Linked DNA regions of Tamandua tetradactyla. The protein of the gene in region 1 interacts with the protein of each later gene in a pairwise test. Links are inferred from orthologs where the notes say so. Each region holds a gene or a part of one and is shown on either strand. Other genes may lie near its edges.

What was found.
Region 2: the proteins of TROAP (region 1) and DYRK1B interact in binary tests that used the Homo sapiens proteins (3 or more experiments, as listed by UniProt). The link is inferred for Tamandua tetradactyla from reciprocal best matches to the Homo sapiens genes TROAP and DYRK1B.

The regions. Positions count from the first base shown.
Region 1 is NC_135333.1:110,256,564-110,266,341, forward strand, and holds the start of TROAP (tastin), read left to right. Parts: upstream 1-5,368; 5' UTR 5,369-5,714; intron 5,715-5,963; 5' UTR 5,964-5,974; coding exon 5,975-6,118; intron 6,119-6,223; coding exon 6,224-6,416; intron 6,417-6,927; coding exon 6,928-7,085; intron 7,086-7,166; coding exon 7,167-7,304; intron 7,305-7,488; coding exon 7,489-7,571; intron 7,572-8,061; coding exon 8,062-8,114; intron 8,115-8,552; coding exon 8,553-8,674; intron 8,675-9,616; coding exon 9,617-9,757; intron 9,758-9,778. UniProt on the Homo sapiens protein: Could be involved with bystin and trophinin in a cell adhesion molecule complex that mediates an initial attachment of the blastocyst to uterine epithelial cells at the time of the embryo implantation.
Region 2 is NC_135342.1:24,180,784-24,190,865, forward strand, and holds the start of DYRK1B (dual specificity tyrosine-phosphorylation-regulated kinase 1B), read left to right. Parts: upstream 1-6,076; 5' UTR 6,077-6,407; coding exon 6,408-6,486; intron 6,487-7,807; coding exon 7,808-7,971; intron 7,972-9,043; coding exon 9,044-9,166; intron 9,167-9,267; coding exon 9,268-9,456; intron 9,457-9,785; coding exon 9,786-9,933; intron 9,934-10,082. Other genes in the region: FBL (rRNA 2'-O-methyltransferase fibrillarin), read left to right, coding at 1-115, 196-300, 387-481, 1,437-1,607, 2,569-2,701, 3,872-3,984, 4,868-5,013, 5,143-5,167.

The DNA.
Region 1 (9,778 bases):
AATATGAAGCGCACAAATATATGTGTTGTGGGTGTCCCAGAAGAAGAAGAGAAGGGAAAAGGAGGAGAAAAACTAATGGAAGAAATTATCACGGAAAATTTCCCAACTCTTATGAAAGACCTAAAATTACAGATCCAAGAAGTGCAGCTCACCCCAAAGAGATTAGACCCAAATAGGCGTTCTCCAAGACACTTGCTAGTTAGAATGTCAGAGGTCAAAGAGAAAGAGAGGATCTTGAAAGCAGCAAGAGAAAAACAATCCATCACATACAAGGGAAACCCAAGAAGACTATGTGTAGATTTCTCAGCAGAAACCATGGAAGTTAGAAGACAGTGGGATGATATATTTAAATTACTAAAAGAGAAAAACTGCCAACCAAGACTCCTATATCCAGCAAAATTGTCCTTCAAAAATGAGGGAGAAATTAAAACATTCTCAGACAAAAAGTCACTGAGAGAATTTGTGACCAAGAGACCAACTCTGCAAGAAATACTAAAGGGAGCACTAGAGTCAGATACGAAAAGACAGAAGAGAGAGGTATGGAGAAGAGTGTAGAAAGAAGGAAAGTCAGATATGATATATATAATACAAAAGGCAAAATGGTAGAGGAAAATATTATCCAAACAGTAATAACACTAAAAGTTAATGGACTGAATTCCCCAATCAAAAGACATAGACTGGCAGAATGGATTAAAAAACAGGATCCTTCTATATGCTGTCTACAGGAAACACATCTTAGACCCAAAGATAAACATAGGTTGAAAGTGAAAGGTTGGGTAAAGATACTTCATGCAAATAACAACCAGAAAAGAGCAGGAGTGGCTATACTAATATCCAACAAATTAGACTTCAAATGTAAAACAGTTAAAAGAGACAAAGAAGGACACTATCTACTAATAAAAGGAACAATTAAACAAGAAGACATAACAATCATAAATATTTACGGACCGAACCAGAATGCCCCAAAATACGTGAGGAATACACTGCAAACACTGAAAAGGGAAATAGACACATATACCATAATAGTTGGAGACTTCAATTCACCACTCTCATCAATGGACAGAACATCTAGACAGAGGATCAATAAAGAAATAGAGAATCTGAATATTACTATAAATGAGCTAGACTTAACAGACATTTATAGGACATTACATCCCACAACAGCAGGATACACCTTTTTCTCAAGTGCTCATGGATCATTCTCAAAGATAGACCATATGCTGGGTCACAAAGCAAGTCTTAACAAATTTAAAAAGATTGAAATCATACACAACACTTTCTCGGATCATAAAGGAATGAAGTTGGAAATCAATAATAGGCGGAGTGCCAGAAAATTCACAAATACGTGGAGGCTCAACAACACACTCTTTAACAACGAGTGGGTCAAAGAATAAATTGCAAGAGAAATTAGTAAATACCTCGAGGCGAATGAAAATGAAAACACAACATATCAAAACCTATGGGACGCAGCAAAGGCAGTGCTAAGAGGGAAATTTATTGCCCTAAATGCCTATATCACAAAAGAAGAAAAGGCAAAAATGCAGGAATTAACTGTCCACTTGGAAAAACTGGAGAAAGAACAGCAAACTAATCCCAAAGCAAGCAAAAGGAAAGAAATAACAAAGATTAGAGCAGAAATAAATGAAATTGAAAACATGAAAACAATAGAGAAAATCAATAAGACCAGAAGTTGGTTCTATGAGAAAATCAATAAGATTGATGGGCCCTTAGCAAGATTGACAAAAAGAAGAAGAGAGAGGATGCAAATAAATAAGATCAGAAATGGAAGAGGAGACATAACCACTGACCTCACAGAAATAAAGGAGGTAATAACAGGATACTATGAACAACTTTACGCTAATAAATACAACAGTTTAGATGAAATGGACGGGTTCCTGGAAAGACATGAACAACCAACTTTGACTCAAGAAGAAATGGATGGCCTCAACAAACCAATCACAAGTAAAGAAATTGAATTAGTCATTCAAAAGCTTCCTAAAAAGAAAAGTCCAGGACCAGACGGCTTCACATGTGAATTCTATCAAACATTCCAGAAAGAAATAGTACCAAATCTCCTCAAACTCTTCAAAAAATCGAAGTGGAGGGAAAGCTAACTAATTCATTCTATGAAGCCAACATCACCCTCATACCAAAACCAGGCAAAGATATTACAAGAAAAGAAAACTACAGACCAATCTCTCTAATGAATATAGATGCAAAAATCCTCAATAAAATTCTAGCAAATCGTATCCAACAACATATCAAAAGAATTATACATCATGACCAAGTAGGATTCATCCCAGGTATGCAAGGATGGTTCCACATAAGAAAATCAATTAATGTAATACACCACATCAACAAATCTAAGCAGAAAAATCACATGATCATCTCAATTGATGCAGAGAAGGCATTTGACAAGATTCAACATCCTTTCCTGTTGAAAACACTTCAAAAGATAGGAATACAAGGGAACTTCCTTAAAATGATAGAGGGAATATATGAAAAACCCACAGCTAATATCATCCTCAACGGGGAAAAATTGAAAACTTTCCCCCTAAGATCAGGAACAAGACAAGGATGTCCACTATCACCACTATCATTCAACATCGTGTTGGAGGTTCTAGCCAGAGCAATTAGACAAGAAAAAGAAATACAAGGCATCAAAATTGGAAAGGAAGAAGTAAAATTATCACTGTTTGCAGACGATATGATACTATACGTCGAAAACCCAGAAAAATCCACAACAAAACTACTAGAGCTAATAAATGAGTACAGCAAAGTAGCAGGTTACAAGATCAACATTCAAAAATCTGTAGCATTTCTATACACTAGTAATGAACAAGCTGAGGGGGAAATCAAGAAACAAATCCCATTTACAATCGCAACTAAAAGAATAAAATACCTAGGAATAAATTAAACTAAAGAGACAAAAAACCTATACAAATAAAACTACAAAAAACTGTTAAAAGAAATCACAGAAGACCTAAATAGATGGAAGGGCATACCGTGCTCATGGATTGGAAGACTAAATATAGTTAAGATGTCAATCCTACCTAAATTGATTTACAGATTCAATGCAATACCAATCAAAATCCCAACAACTTATTTTTCAGAAATAGAAAAACCAATAAGCAAATTTATCTGGAAGGGCAGGGTGCCCCGAATTGCTAAAAGTATCTTGAGGAAAAAAACGAAGCTGGAGGTCTCACGCTGACAGACTTTAAGGCATATTATGAAGCCACAGTGGTCAAAACAGCATGATATTGGCATAAAGATAGATATATCGACCAATGGAATCGAATAGAGTGTTCAGATATAGACCCTCTCATCTATGGACATTTGATCTTTGATAAGGCAGTCAAGTCAACTCACCTGGGACAGAACAGTCTCTTCAATAAATGGGGCCTAGAGAACTGGATATCCATATGCAAAAGAATGAAAGAAGACCCGTATCTCACACCCTATACAAAAGTTAACTCAAAATGGATCAAAGATCTAAACATTAGGTCTAAGACCATAAAACAGTTAGAGGAAAATGTAGGGAGATATCTTATGAAACTTACAATTGGAGGCGGTTTTATGGACCTTAAACATAAATCAAGAGCACTGAAGAAGGAAATAAATAAATGGGAGCTCCTCAAAATTAAACACTTTTGTGCATCAAAGAACTTCATCAAGAAAGTAGAAAGACAGCCTACACAATGGGAGACAATATTTGGAAATGACATATCAGATAAAGGTCTAGTATCCAGAATTTATAAAGAGATTGTCCAACTCAACAACAAAAAGACAGCCAACCCAATTACAAAATGGGAAAAAGACTTGAACAGACACCTCTCAGAAGAGGAAATACAAATGGCCAAAAGGCACATGAAGAGATGCTCAATGTCCCTGGCCATTAGAGAAATGCAAATCAAAACCACAATGAGATATCATCTCACACCCACCAGAATGGCCATTATCAACAAAACAGAAAATGACAAGTGCTGGAGAGGATGCGGAGAAAGAGGCACACTTATCCACTGTTGGTGGGAATGTCAATTGGTGCAACCACTGTGGAAGGCAGTTTGGCGGTTCCTCACAAAACTGAATATAGAATTGCCATACGACCCAGCAATACCATTGCTGGGTATCTACTCAAAGGACTTACGGGCAAAGACACAAACGGACATTTGCACACCAATGTTTATAGCAGCGTTATTTACAATTGCAAAGAGATGGAAACAGCCAAAATGTCCATCAACAGAAGAGTGGCTAAACAAACTGTGGTATATACATACGATGGAATATTATGCAGCTTTAAGACAGAATAAACTTATGAAGCATGTAGTAACATGGATGGACCTAGAGAACATTATGCTGAGTGAGTCTAGCCAAAAACTAAAGGACAAATACTGTATGGTCCCACTGATGTGAACCGACATTCGAGAATAAACTTGGAATATGTCATTGGTAACAGAGACCAGCAGGAGTTAGAAACAGGGTAAGATAATGGGTAATTGGAGCTGAAGGGATATAGACTGTGCAACAGGACTAGATATAAAAACTCAAAAATGGACAGCACAATAATACCTAAATGTAAAGTAATCATGTTAAAACACTGAATGAAGCTGCATCTGAGCTATAGGGTTTTTTGTTTGTCTGTTTGTTTGTGCCTTTTTTTTACTATTATTATTATTTTTATTTTTTTCTCTATATTAACATTCTATATCTTTTTCTGTTTTTTTGCTAGTTCTTTTCCTAATTCGATGCAAATGTACTAAGAAATGATGATCATGCATCTATGTGATGATGTTAAGAATTACTGATTGCATATGTAGAATGGAATGATATCTAAATGTTGTGTTAATTTCTTTTTTTTCTTTAATTAATAAAAAAAAATTAAAAAAAAAAAAGAGAGGCAGCCTGGAAGTGGGGAAATCCTCAGCTAAGCAGCTACTCAATTCTAAAGTTGTATCAACTGAATTCCAATGTCACTACCTGAGTCTTGTTTCCTATTTTTGAAATGGAGACCACATTTCATGGGGTTGTGAGGGTCGAGTGAGAAAACGGTTGTTTTATCCGTTATTATCAGGCTCAGCTCAGTTCTTTCAGACTCAGTTAAATTCCCTTCGGTCCTCTCGCTTCGTTGGGACGCAGTTCCTTGTCCTGGGAACAAACGTGCAGATGCTTCCTATTAGTGACTGGAATGGCTTCGCCGATGCGAGGCGCTGCGAAAGTGACCAGAGTTCACTCAGGAGCTGGGAACAGCCTCCAATACCTTAAACCGCTATTAGGAGGACCAACCCTTCCCACAATGCTACTGCTTTTTCTCGCCAAGGGGCCGTCCCTCATCAGTCCCGAGATCTCGCGAGATTAAGATTGCATAGTTATCATCCAGCCCTAGCTGTCGTCACCTTCTCTGTCCTCAAAACGGCGTCTTCCTTCCTTTTTTCCCCTCCTTTTACCCTGCGCTCCGCTCACGGATTGGCTGACTGGACTGGATCAGTTTTTTCCTGGCCAGAAGGAGGTTAGACATCCCGTCCCTCTTTGGCCCCGCCCCCGGAGCCTGTGGATTGGACGGCTGTGTCAGCTGTCGTGCGCCCCGCGGGAGCGCGGACGAGCCAATCAGGAGCTTGAAGTATTTTACAAACTGTGAAAGCAGCTTCTGGGGACGCATAGAGTCCAAGAAAAAGCGAAGAAAGTGAGGGTGGCCCTAAGGGGTTCCGGAGAAGGTGAGACACGAGAATCTTGGAGGGAATGAGGGGTACGGGAGCTCACGGGGAGGAGAAGCAGCTTGGGGTGCTGGGGCGAAAGAATAGACTCGGAGTGTCTGGAGGTGGCATCCAAAGTAAGGCCTTGCAGGAGCCGGGGGGTTCGGGGCTCTTCAGTTTAGGCATAGGTAAGAGCCTCAGGATTGGAAGAACCAGTGTCCCGAAATGGCTGACCTTTGCTTTCCGGTTCTGCTTCCTTCCCCGTCTCAGTTGTAGCCATCATGACCTCACTCCAAGCCACGAAGGATCCGCTCCTCCGGGGTGTATCCCCCACCCCTAGCAAGATTCCCGTACTTACTCAGAGACGCCTACCTCTCCCCAGGGACAAACTCTCCGCCCTGGACCAGGAGAACCAAGATCCAAGCGTAAGAGGGGCTTAGTGGATAAAGGTAGCAGTTACAAGGAGGCTGCATACACCAGTAATGCAGCCCAACGCAGCGTCCCAGCTTTTTGTTGTCTTTTCCTCCCAGGAATCAGTGCAGAATCCACCGCTTAGTATTAAAGGACCCCTTGTTGGCCTAGCAGGCTCCAGGCCGAAAGCCATGCACCAAACCGAGAAATCAGAGAGATTGATGGGGAGCACTCAGCTCCGGAACCCCCTGAAGGAGCTCAGGAGTAGTCCTGGGGGTCCGAATGTGAGACCTGGTCCTCTTCCCCAGACAGGTACCTGTTGGAGGCCTGGAGACTACAGCGTCTTTGGTTGGGTGGGGGAGTGTGACGGACACAGTGGGGTTTCAGGGCTTTGTACTTGCCTGTGGGTTCCCTGGTCCCTGCTCCTGGGAAGCTCTTTGTTATTAGAAGCCCCACCCTCCCTACTCTTCCTTCAGCAAAATGTCATCTCTTTTGAAACCTTTTCCTGCTCCCTCAGTCACAATCAGATGCTTAATTCTTCATTTATATGATATGTCTTTTTTTAAATTTGAGTCTATTCTCTATAGTTTGATGATAGCTTCTTGAGGATACAGGCTTTGTCTTAATCATCTCCGGGTCCCAATGCCCAGAATAGTGTCTTACTTAGAGAACAGTAGAGTTCTGTGAACATTTGATGAGCTGAGTTCAATTGAATGAGAGTTTCTTTTTTCACCCTTGCACCACAAGGTGACTACACCAGGGCCCCTGATCCCTTAGTCGTCACCCTTCCTATTATTTCTCACCTTCTCCTCTTTTCTTGCAGAGGCTCCAGGGGCCACAGAATTTGTGGCTGATCCTGCAGCCCTGGCCACCATCCTGTCAGGTGAGGGGGTAAAGAGCTGTTGCCTGGGGCGTCAACTCAGTCTGGCTCAGAGAGTATTGGTTCGAGAGAGCCAAGGAAGCACCATCCGGAGGGGCCAGGTAATGATGTAAAGTAATCAGACTGCATGGGATGGGGAGGGGATCCTGAACCTGTGCTGATAGCCTCTGTTGGGGTCCCAGGGTGCCCGGGCCTCAGCTTATTCAGCCCCCAGAACTCCCGTCCACCGTCTGGATCCTGCCAGGGCTTCCTGCTTCTCGAGGCTGGAGGGACCAGGACCCCGTGGCCAGACCTTGGGTCCCCAGAGGCTAGAGGCTCTGGTGAGTGCCCTTGAGGGGCTGGCTGTCAGTGCTTCAGGGAGCATCTGCTTACAGGACAGGCTGGGCCCTGGGACAAATAGTACCTCATGAGGAGCCGCAGAGGGTTCTGTGGGGAAGATGGGGTTGGAGAAGATTTGGGGTCCACGCTGTGACTCTGCTCTCATTTCTTGCTTCTCTGGATCAGATTCCACCTTCAGGACCTTCCTTTCACCCCTCTACTCGCCCCAGTTTCCAGGAGTTAAGAAGAGAGACAGGTGGCAGGAGCCGGTGAGAAGAAGAGGGTGTGGGAAAGTATCATTTGGAAAAGATTGACCCAGTGTCTTATGCAGGGTTCCCCCAGACCTGGGGCCTCCTGTAGCTTTAGGACTTCCTACCAACCCAGGAGGGGAAGGGGTAACCTTCCTAGAGGTGAGTCCTTGGAACAGAGTTCAGACCTTCATAGCCAGGCCTCAGTGTGGCATCAGTCTCCTCAGATCATGAGCCAAAGGGGAGGGACAAGAATGAGAGGTGTTATTGCTTGTGTGTAGTGGTTAGAGCACAGACTAATAGCAATAAATGGGATTTGAGTTTGATTCCTGACTTGCCACTTAGTTGTGTGAACTTATTTAAACTCTCGTAGCTTCTTTATCTGTCAAATGAGGATAATGTTTGTACTATCATTAGAGGTTATCGTGAGAATTAAATGAGATGATGTTTATAAAGCACTTAGCTCATACTTGGTACTCAGTGACTGCTCACTGCTGTTATTTGTCATCAGAACTTCAGTGAACCAGGCCTCAGGATTGCCCCTGAAGAACGCAGCCCAGCCTAGTAAGTGTGTCTGGCCCTGGGGAGAGAACAGGGGCAGGAGCTTAGTCTGCAGCAGGGAATAAGACAAGAGAAAGCTCAGAAGGCCTGGTGGGGTGAAGTGGGCCTAAAACAGAGGTTGGTAACCAGTTGCACATGTCTCAAACGGGAGGTGGTCCCCATTTCTACCCTCTCCCTGAAAGATTTACCTTCCACTCACTGTTCTATTCCCAGCCCCTAAGAACCATCACCACATCTGCAGTCTACTCATGGTGTTCAGATTCATAGGTATTTAGTGAGATAGTACAGGGCTTAGGATAGAGCTTGCTGGGATGAATTCCTGTTCCTGATGGTGCAGCAGAGGCTGTCAAACTGGCATACCCCTCTTCAGAGGTTGCAAGGCCCATTTCAGAATTTTGTGAGTGTTCCAGAAACTTCAACAAATTTCCTGTCTCTTCTTAGATTCCTCTCTTCCTGAAGGTAAACGTGAGATTGTGACTCACTCAGATGAAGGAGGAGGGGGCCCCCTCGGTCTGGCCCAGCGGGTACCATTAAGAGAAATCGGTGGGATAACAAGCACCAAGGTAAGATGGGACCCTCCTGTGGAGGGGAGGTGGGAGGTGCTTGGGGGAACTCCCCAGCAGGAGCTGGCACTGAGGATTATGGGTTGAGTCAGCAGTACTGGCCCTCAGGAACATTATTATTAGGGCTGAGTTTACCCCAGATGGGCCCAGGCCATCTCCAGAATGCAACTGACTTCTCTTTACAAGGTGTCTGGGACTCAGCTGAGAGGTCACACACTGGTATATGTTTGCATCATCATCAGATCAATGCTGAGAGCAAGACAAAACTGATGCTTGTCTGTCAAAAGCATTCGTCCATTCACTCCACAAATATTTATTGAGCATCTACTGTGTGTACTGTTCTAGGCTCTGGGCATAAAAATATTCACATTCTGGAAGGAAGAGACAAACAAAAACAAATATATAAAATATATAGCACGTCAGATTGTATTAAGTTCTCTGTAAAAACTACATAAATAAGATACTAAAGGGGAATTGAGAGTGGAGAGTTGGTATTGCAATTTTAAATTGCAAAAGATTGGTCAGGGGAATCTCATTGAAAAGACAGCATTTAAGTGAAGGCCAAAGGAATTGAGGGAATGAATCATGACAATCTCTGGGAGAAGAGTTTCAGACCAAGAATTGCATATGCAGAGACTCTGAGCAGTGAATATACCTAGTGTTTTTTCAGCTCAGAAAAGGAGAGGCCAGCGATACTTAGAGTAAAAATACTGGTAGGACATGAGGCTAGAGTGATAACTGAATCAGGTTGAATAGGGACTTATAAACCAATGTATGGACTTTGGCTTTTACTTAGAATGAGATTAGAAACCATAGGGCCAGAAGAGGGAATGATATGATTTGCGTTTGTCTTAAAAGAATCACAGTGGCTGCTGTGGTGAGAACAAGATGTCGAAGGCAGATGGGGAAGGGATCATTCTCTCCACCTTTTTCTCTCCACAGGACAGCCGTGAGTCCTACCTGATGCCCTCCCCTGCCCCTGTGGCCCAACCCATGCCTGGCCGTGTGGTAACATCAACTGACACCCGCCATTCACCCTTTGGATGGGCTCAGCGTGTACCTTCTCCCCACCCCACAGCTCTGGTTTGTACCCACAGCTCTTGG
Region 2 (10,082 bases), on another chromosome or scaffold:
GGCGGTCGAGGTGGAGGCCGAGGCGGCTTTGGTGGTGGCCGAGGGGGCTTCGGCGGAGGCCGAGGCCGTGGCGGAGGCTTCAGGGGCCGCGGGCGAGGAGGAGGAGGAAGAGGTGGTAAGTGAGGCGTCCCCTATGCTTGGGTAGTAGCAAGGGAAGAAATTTGGGGGCTTCTTCTTACTGCATCTCTCCTGTAGGTGGAGGGTTCCAGTCTCCTGGTGGCAACCGGGGTCGTGGCCGAGGAGGAAAAAGAGGAAACCAGTCGGGGAAGAATGTGATGGTGGAACCCCATCGGCATGAAGGTGAAGGGCAGGAACTGGCTGAGGGTTGGGGTGGGGTGGGGTCGGGGGGCCAATGTCCTCACCCCTGCTCTGAAACCCTCACCCAGGTGTCTTCATTTGCCGAGGAAAGGAAGATGCACTTGTCACCAAGAATCTGGTCCCTGGAGAATCAGTTTATGGAGAGAAGAGAGTCTCGATCTCGGTGAGACCTGGGGCCCTGTCTAAGCTAGTGGGACCCCAGCTGATGGTATATCCAGCAGTCTGATCTCCCTGCTGCCACCCTTACCTCCCCCTTCCCCCTTCATATGTCCTGCAGATGCTGGCCAGGGATCACGGTAACTTCCCTCCTCACATGCCTTCTGTGATTCCCTGTTGCCTTCAGCTTGGTCCGGAGTCCTTACTGGCCCTGACAGCCCTCCACGCTCTAGTCCCCTTCTCCACCCCGGCCTCATCTCCCCCCTGCTTTCTCCCTAACCAGGCTGCACTGATCTCCTTGCTATTCCCTCTGCCTGGAGTTTTTGTCAGTAACTTCTGTGTGAGTCTGACTCCTTCTGTCTCCCCACCCTGCCTGTCAAAATCAACCCCCACCCCCTGCCCTCAGTCCTGGTCACTGGCCCTTACTGCCCCATGTTATTTTCTTTATGGGCAGGTACACTCTTGCCTCAGGGCCTTCTTGCTTGCTTTTCCTCTGCCTGTCATGCTCTTCCCCAGATAGCGCTCATCTACTTCAGGTAGCTCCTTCTCGGCTCGTCTCTTGCCACCTTTTCTCATTTTCACCTGTCTCTTGACATATCACCATCTAGTATAACATATTTTATTTAGTTAATTATAGTGTTATGTACTCTTTGGGGGCAGGGGTCTTTTTCTTATTCACAAGGTTTGGCACAAGCAGGTGCTTGTTGAATGAATGCATAGGACTTGATGTTACTCGATCCAGTCTGTGTCTCTCTGTGTTTATTGTCTCTTGCTGTCTTCTCCCCTTGAGTCAGTGACTTCCAGTCAGGCAGGACTGCATCTGTCCTGGTTCATGCTCTTCGTCCACAATTCATTTCTTGTACAACAACAAAATGCCCAGTTCTTTTCGAGGGCCCTAGGGTAAGGGATATGGGCTGTTGGAGAAGAGCCCAGCACTTATTTCCCCATCTCTCCCGGCCTAGGAAGGAGATGACAAAATTGAGTACCGTGCATGGAACCCCTTCCGCTCAAAACTGGCAGCAGCAATCCTGGGCGGCGTAGACCAGATCCACATTAGGCCGGGGGCCAAGGTGCTCTACCTTGGGGCTGCTTCGGGGACCACTGTCTCCCACGTCTCTGACATTGTAGGACCGGTGAGTGGGGGTGGGGGTGAGAATCTGTGACAAAATGTAAGAGTGGTGGTGAGGTGAGTGGGAAAGAAAAGATGCCTTCCTTTGCCAGCCTCGAGTCAGAGTCCTGTCTGCTTCCATTCACTGTGGCACAGAACCGGGCTCTGCCTTCTAGAAGGGGATAGGAGGCCCCTCCAAAGCTCGCTTCTGGGTTTCTGGACCTGAGGGAAAGGGGCATAGGCATTAGAGGGGCCCAGAGCTAGGAGTATCGGTATCAGACTATTTGAATTGGTTGCCCTTGTTAAAAATTCATGTCCCCAAAATCCAGGCTTCTGGTTTATCTTGAAAGAACAGGAGATCTCAGAGTTTCTGGGCCTGCATTTCAATTTATACCATCTGTAGAGGGAGGCTGTACATCTCCCTTTGTGACCCCTTTCTCGTTTATGTGATTGCTGGCTGTGTAATTTAGTAGTTACAGACCCTAGGCTCTGATGCCAGGCTCTTTGGATTCAAATCCCAGCTTAGCCATTTAACAGTGATGTCGTTTTGGACAGATTATTTATCTCTCCGGGGCTCACTTTACCCCCTGGAAAACAGACTTGTGAAAATTAGACAAGTTAATTTCTACACAGTGTTTCTGAACAGTACCTGGCATGTGGCAAATGCTTGTTAGCTGTTGTGCTTCATCATTCTGTGCCTTGGCTTCCTGTTTTTAAGCCTTTATTGAGAGCCTGGGCTCTCAGATTAGGTAACTTGGTGTTTGGAAGGCTCACTTGCTTGCTGAATAATCCTTGGTTGATAATTTCACATCCCAGGACCTCAGTTTATTAATCTATGAAGTAGACTTGATAACAATGGCTGTTAAATGATAGGATTTTGATTTGGAGGTTGGAAGAAATGCTGCATGCAGAGCGTAGGCCCATTAGTAAGTAGTGGCTCCATATGAGCACTGATACCATCACTGTTATTACTTGCCTTGTTTTAGGATGGTCTGGTCTATGCAGTTGAGTTCTCCCACCGTTCTGGCCGTGACCTCATTAACCTGGCCAAGAAGAGGACCAATATAATTCCTGTCATTGAAGATGCTCGGCACCCACACAAATACCGCATGCTCATTGGTGAGGGGCCCTGGGCGTCGGCCCAGGTAGGGTGGGATAGGCCACTCCTAGAAACAGGTTTCCTGGAAGAGCCTATCTAAGCCCTGAATCGGACTGAATTGGAATGAATGAGCAGTCCCTCAGAGTCTGTAGGAGTGAGAAGGGATGGGGGAATCAGTTGAGATTATGGAGGTGGGGGCCCCATTCCATGGTCTCAGGTGTCTGGCACCCTTGAAGAGCCAGCCTCCTCTCTTTTGAAATCTTTCCTTAGACCCCTGTGCTTCTAGCCTCCCCCCCAAAACACAGTACTTTCTACACTGCTCCTGACTTGTGTGTAGAACCCCCTCCAAGATGCTGTTCATTATCTGATGATCCTAGCCCAGGAGGCACAAACTGAGCTGGCTCTGACCCTCAGGGGGCCATTGTAGATATTTTAATGCCTGTATTTTTTTTTGTTCTCTAATTGGAAATGTAACATATGATTTTGTTTTGTAAAAAATCAAAAGCATGATGTAAAAATGGAAAGCCTTTTAAACATCCCCAGAGGTAATTGACGTAAACAATTTGATGGCTACTTGTTGTGAATTTTAAAAAGTCAGTTTTCATCATACCACCCCATGCCCGCCCCGCATGAGCAGACACCGGGAATCAAACCTGGTTCTCTGGCATGGCAGGCGAAAACTCTGCCTGCTGATCCACTGTTGTACCGCCCTACACCATCTTTTCAATTGTTAAAGTTTCCTTCCTCCCCTACCCCCACTCCTTACTCACACTGGCTTTAAACATTACTTTGTCATTCCACTTGTTTTTCTTTCTGAGTTTTTTTCCCGTATTCTCATATATATTTGTCCTGCGACTTGTTTTCATTTGACAACCCCGAAGACGTTCTTGCCTATTAGTGCTCACCTTTAGTTGCCTTTTTGATGACCTGGTTGTCTCCCCCGCCAGGCCTGGGAGCATCTTGAGGGCAGGGTCCGGGTTTGACTTGTCTCTGTGTCACCAGGGCTGGCCACAGAGTAGGTGGCAACCATGTTGGGGATGCTGTGGAGGAATGGGGGATCAGTGGGGGAAGTTGGATTGGAGGCAGGGAAACTGCCAAGCATCTGCTCATGATGGGGCACAAGCCCAAGGGGGGGAGCTGGGAAGATCTCTGGTGGGCTCGACTTCTAAACGCCACCCCTCTCTCCCTAGCAATGGTGGATGTGATCTTTGCTGACGTTGCCCAGCCAGACCAGACCCGGATCGTGGCCCTGAATGCCCACACTTTCTTGCGTAATGGAGGACACTTTGTGATTTCCATTAAGGTGGGGGACTTGATGGTGTGTAAGATGGGATGGGACTGTCCCAGGATGGCTTCTTCTCTGTCAGGGTGTGACAGCCAGCCAGGTGAAACAAGGGGGTCACCATCTTCCTTACTCCAGTCAGTCTACTCCCAGCCTCTGTCCCTACTCCAGCCCCCTACCATTTGTTCTCCAACTCCATTCATATAACACGTGATACCAAAATGTCAGCAAAACTAAAAGCTTTGGATTTAGAGATTAATATGTGGTGGTCAAATGCATGGTCACTGATCCTGACTGAATCTTAAATCCCAGTTTGCTCTGTGAGTTTGAGCAAGTTACTTAACCTCTGTGTACCTCAGTTTCTTCATTTGTAGAATGGAAATATTAGTTCTATCTCTAGGGTATACGTGAAGAATTAACATATGTGAAGTGTTCAGAACATTCTGGCATAAAATTAAATATAAGATAAATATTAGATGCATTTTTTAAACTTTGAAATACAGAGAACTTAGTCCTGTATGCTCTTCACCCAGATTGACTATTTGCCAGCCTTTTGCTACATTTGCTTTGTTATTCTTAGCTGGCTTATTACTATTACAATTTAGTAAAGAAAAAGAGGAAGAAGAAAAAACAGACAAACTCTGTTTTATATGTAAAATTTAGGGGCTGTGATTAAAGCTTCCTAGTTCAAATCCAAACGAAACTGAAAGCTTTTTTAATGAAGCATTTCCCCACATTTCTGAAACCCTGCCATAGAAGAGACAGTAATGATTGTTGTTGGCCTCTTCAGCCTGAGGGTCACTTACTTTCCAAAGAAAACAAATACTTCTGGTTTAAAGAGCACAAAAAAAGGGAAACCAGAAGTCAAAGCCTTGCTGCGGACTTAAAATCTCTCCTTCTATAGGCCAACTGCATTGACTCTACAGCCTCCGCCGAGGCCGTATTTGCCTCTGAAGTGAAAAAGATGCAACAGGAGAACATGAAGCCCCAAGAGCAGTTGACCTTAGAGCCTTACGAAAGAGACCATGCTGTGGTTGTGGGTGTGTACAGGTGAGCAGGCAGCCAGTAATCTACCAGGATAGATGTCTGTCCCTTAAACTCAGAGCTGTGTGGGTCAGTTCTTGTTGGGAATGCCCATGGTCTTGGAGATTCCCCTCATCTCCTCTCTTCCTCTCACAGGCCACCTCCTAAAGTGAAGAACTGAGTGAAGTTCACCGCTGTCAGGATTGCGAGAGATTGTGTGGTTGCTGTTGCACGTGTGTTTTTCTATTAAAAGACTCTTCTGTCACCGTTGTCTGCAGCTGATTGCTCTGCCACCGCTGTTGTCCACCTGGCGCATGCGCCCTTGGTGCTCTTGAGTGGGGGTGGAAAGTCTCATCTTGTTACATGGCGCATGCTCTGTTTTCAGCGGTCTCCTGCGCAGCCGTAATCCGGTTTTCGGCGCCTAGGCGGGGTTAGTGACTCGCTGCGCATGATTGGTAGTAGTGCCCACTAAACGCAGGCGCGGATTGCTTCCTTGGGTCACGTGAAGGGGCGGGGGTGGGGAGGCGGGGTGAGGGCGGAGTCCGGGGCGAGGGCGGAGTCTGGGGCGGGGTGGAGGGGTTGGTTTGTTGTGGTCGCCATTTTGCTGGTTGCATTACTGGGTAATCGTGGCTCTGGCTTGCTGCGTCCGCCGGATACCTTCCGCCCGTGGGCAGGTCAGAGCTCGGGCCTCCCGAGCAGTTTGAGTCCCCTTGCCTGCGCTCTCAGGTAACGAAACGAAGATGAGTGGGGTGGCATGCGCTCGCAGGGAGTGGAGGGGAGGGCGGAATTCGCCCTGGCCGCGTCGCAGCGAGAATGAGCACAAGGCCCCGGCATGGGGGTGAGGAGGGCGGGCAGGTGCAGGCCCAGCCTGGCTATTCATAGTCGGATTCCTGGAAGGGGCCAAGCCCGAGGGAGCGATCTTGGGAGGAAAGTTGGGAGGGGGTAGCCAGGCCTGGCTCCCGCCCTTTGTTTGGGCTTGGCTCCGCCGGCCGCATCGTCGTTGCCTAGCAACAGCCATCTTGGACTATGATTGGCCGAGTTCTTGGCAGCGACGACCAATTGCACGGTTGTTGCCATGGCAGGGTGCGGACTGCCAAGCTCAGTCGGGCCCCGCCCGCCGGTTCTCCGCAGGCCGGGGCGGGCCTCCAGGGTGGGGGGCGGGACGCCTGGGTCCCCAGAGGCGGGGGGCCAGTGGTGCGAGAGTTAGCTCGCCCCTCCCCCGTCCACCTGCTTGCCCTTCCCCCGCGTGCCCCGGGTTGACCCTCGTTCCCTGCTCTCCCCGCCCCCGGCGGTGGCGGTGGCGGTGGCTGCTGTTTTCACCCACCGGGCCGTCTGTCCCGCTTGCCCTCCCCGCCGCGGGGCTTGCCGGGCCGGCCGGGCTGGGGACAGACGGCCGCCTCCTCGCTGCCGCCACTGCCGCCATGCTGGCCGCTCACCCGCCCCACTGGGGGCCCCACCGCGCCCCAGCCCCCAGTGGGCTCCGCGCCAGCCCTGACCCGGGTATGGGGTGGGGGCTGAGAGAGACGGTCCTGTTGTGGGAGGGCCCTGGGTTATAGGTTGTTTTGGGGGTGAGGGGCGATCTTCCAGGGAGTGGAACTCCAAGAGTGGTGGGGCCTGGAGTGGCAAAACCTTGCTTAGGAGCAAAGAATCTGACATAGGGGGGTTGTGTGGGTGCGGGTGGAAGCCCTTGGGAGAGGGACTTTAGTGTGGTTCAGTGTTCTGAGAGAGAGAACCCTATGTGATATTTGAGGAATTTGGCTATGTGGGCCTCCTAAGAATGGGCGCGGCTGTGTAGTGACCCTGATAAAGGGGAGCTGTGGGGGAAATGTTGGGTAGTGGACGTAGGATCCAATGTAGAGGAAATAAGAAGGAAGATCACTGTAAGCCATGGGAAGAGGCTCCCCCCCCCTTGGTTCCATCAGAAATGGGCTTTGGAAGGGGAACATTGGAGTACCATGAGAAATACTGCAGATATGGCATGGGGGAATGGGGCTTTGGTTGGGAGACTACCTAGAGGGTGGTCTCTGAGGAAGGAGGACCCGATAAAGGGAAGAAATCCTGGCATGATAAATTGGGAGAACAGTGGGAGGCGGGTCCCGTAGGAAGGGTGTGCCCTGGTTAATGAGGTTGCCATAGAATAGGACTCTGGTCTGTAGGGGATCTCAGATAATCTTGGGGTGGCTGGGTGGTCCTCAGAGGAACCTGATGTGGTTTAGGGGTCCTATAGAAGACCCTGCTATGGCTTGGGGGAGGTTCCAGAGAGCTCTTGTTTCTAGGGTTCTCTGCATTTGGGGATGTGTTGGGAAGGGTAGGCCTTGAAGTAGAGGGGTCTTGGTGATAGAGGATGAGATCCTGATGTTCAGGAAGACTGCAGGAGGGTGGGATCTTAGGTGAGGGGTCCTGGGGAGAGCCACGAGTAGAAATGGGAAGAAAAGAATGAACCCTACTTCCCATGCTGCCTGTGGTTTCTATCATTTTCTTCTCTTTCCTCCCTCCAATTATTGGTGTCTTTCTGTCCTCCTTTCCTGTCATGACCCAAATCCCCTGCTCTTGCCTGCCTCTTTCTTCATCCCCTTTCATGCATCCCTGTCTTTATTCCGCCTCATTCATTTTTTTAATGATCATTTGTCGAGGTACTTTGCTTTGCCCCCCCACCTGGCTTGCCACTTCTCTTCCCTCTTTTTATTGCCACCTGTTGCACCCTTTTCCACCTCCTTCTGTGCCCCTGCTTTCTCTGTCATATCCATTTGTTCCCTGCTTGGCACTGTCCCACATATCCCCCTGTTCCATGTTGTTCCCCCGCCTCCCTGCCTGCTCTCAGGTCTCAGCGGCGGTGGCAGCCGAGGTGCAGGATGCGAGAAGGCGCCCCCCGGCCGGGCTCCCGCTCCAGGCCTCACTCCCTTGTGGCCCTCTGAGCCCACCATGGCCGTCCCACCAGGCCATGGTCCCTTCTCTGGCTTTCCAGGGCCCCAGGAGCACACGCAGGTATGCGTTCACCCAGCTCCTCATCTGCCTGGGGTCAAGGGAGGCTGGGAATAGAAGGGTTTCAGGGCCAAGAGATGGAATGTGGCTGCCCCAGACAGTATCCAGGGGTGTGAAGGGCCCCTGAGTTGTAGAAGATAACAGAAAAGGTGCTGGCAGTCAGGGTTTGGAGAGCCTGGGTTCAAATCCTGGCATGGTGATTAAATTACTAAGTTCTCTATGCTTCCGTTTTCTTATCTGTGAAATGGAGCCAATATCAAAACCTACCTCACAGAGTTGTTGTGAGGATTAAAGAAGTTAATGAAATGCATGTAAAATGCCGAGAATAGTGCCTGGTACCTAGGAAACACCTAATAATGCTTACTAAGAAAACGTTAGAGTGAAGGATCTGGAGGGAGTGGATGGAGAGGAGGGTTGAGACCTAAGGGTCTTGGGACCAACAGGGCCTGAGTGGTATAGGGTAAAGCACTCCAATGGTAGAGATGGTGGAGGTTCTAACATGTAGATCTTGAAACAGGATGGAATGGGAGGTCCAGGGTATAGGATCCAGGTTCTCAAGACCTTTCAAATGAAAGAACAGGGCAAAGATGCTTGGGGCAAGGGAGGGGGGAGCGAGGTGAGAAGCAACACCCTAAGGGATAAGGGTAAAGTGAGATGGGGGTGCATAGAGGTGGGACACCCAGAATGGAGTGGGGGCTAGGGCAGGGCTGTCTCTCCTGCTAAAAGGTTAGGAAGGTTTCCCCTATGATCTCTCCCACTGAAGTTCAGAAAGGAGTGAAGGTGTGGGTCAGAATGCTGGCTAAAGGCCCAGGGGGAAAGAGTTCCCTTATTTAGTCAACACCCATTGCTTCTGTTGAACATCCGCTACATACTAGACCCTGCTCAAGGCCCTGGAGACATAGTAAGAACAAGACAGACCTTGTAGAGTTCATTTCTAATTGGGTAGACAGAATGACCATATAAATAGGTGATTGCGTGGGGTAATAATGAGCCAGATGTCCATATGATTCTCCCCCTTGAGGTCAGACATGATGGGTCTTGCCTGTCCTCAGTGAGGCACCCCCGCCCTGCCCAGCAGGTATTGCCTGATGTGCGGCTACTGCCGCGGAGGCTGCCCCTGGCCTTCCGGGATGCGACCTCAGCCCCACTGCGCAAACTCTCTGTGGACCTCATCAAGACCTACAAGCACATCAATGAGGTAGGCAGGGGCCGGGGCAACCTGGGCTGGGGTCTGGGGGGTTCTCACTGCAGGCATGGGTCGCTCACTGGTCCTCACCTCCTGCTTGGCCAACTGGATAGGTATACTATGCGAAGAAGAAGCGGCGGGCCCAGCAGGCGCCGCCCCAGGACTCGAGCACCAAGAAGGAGAAGAAGGTCTTGAACCACGGTTACGATGACGACAACCACGACTACATAGTGCGCAGTGGCGAGCGCTGGCTGGAACGCTACGAGATTGACTCACTCATTGGCAAGGGCTCTTTTGGCCAGGTGCGGGACAACCAACCCTGAAGCCAGGGATTGGGAGGCATGGGAACCCACTGACATTGACCCCCTCACCCAGTCACTTAGTTTGCTATACCTCAGGTTCCTTTTCTGTAAAATAGTACAAATAACAGGACTCCCCACATAAGGTAGTTGACAGGTGTTTCCACCACTGCCTCAGTCATGGTGAGCATTCAAGTGTGTATTTTTATTACTGTCAATTTTTGGGGTTGGGTCCCCTTTGCTGAGCTGAGGGAGGCCAGAGGGAGAAGAGGAAGAGAGTTACCTGGCTCTCCCCTACCTCCCCCACCTTGTGATGTGCCCTGCCCTGGCAGGTGGTGAAAGCCTATGACCATCAGACTCAGGAGTTGGTGGCCATCAAGATCATCAAGAACAAAAAGGCCTTCCTGAACCAGGCCCAGATTGAGTTGCGGCTGCTGGAGCTGATGAACCAGCATGATACGGAAATGAAGTATTATATCGGTGAGACCTGGGGCCAGTAGGGCCATCAATGCCTGGGATAAAGGGAACTAGCTAGGGATGGGTCACCCCCAAAATAGGAGGGGTCTGGTGTCCTTTGGCCAGGGTTTGGTCTGTGTTTGCTTGACATCAGGGATTCTTCTGCTCCCCAT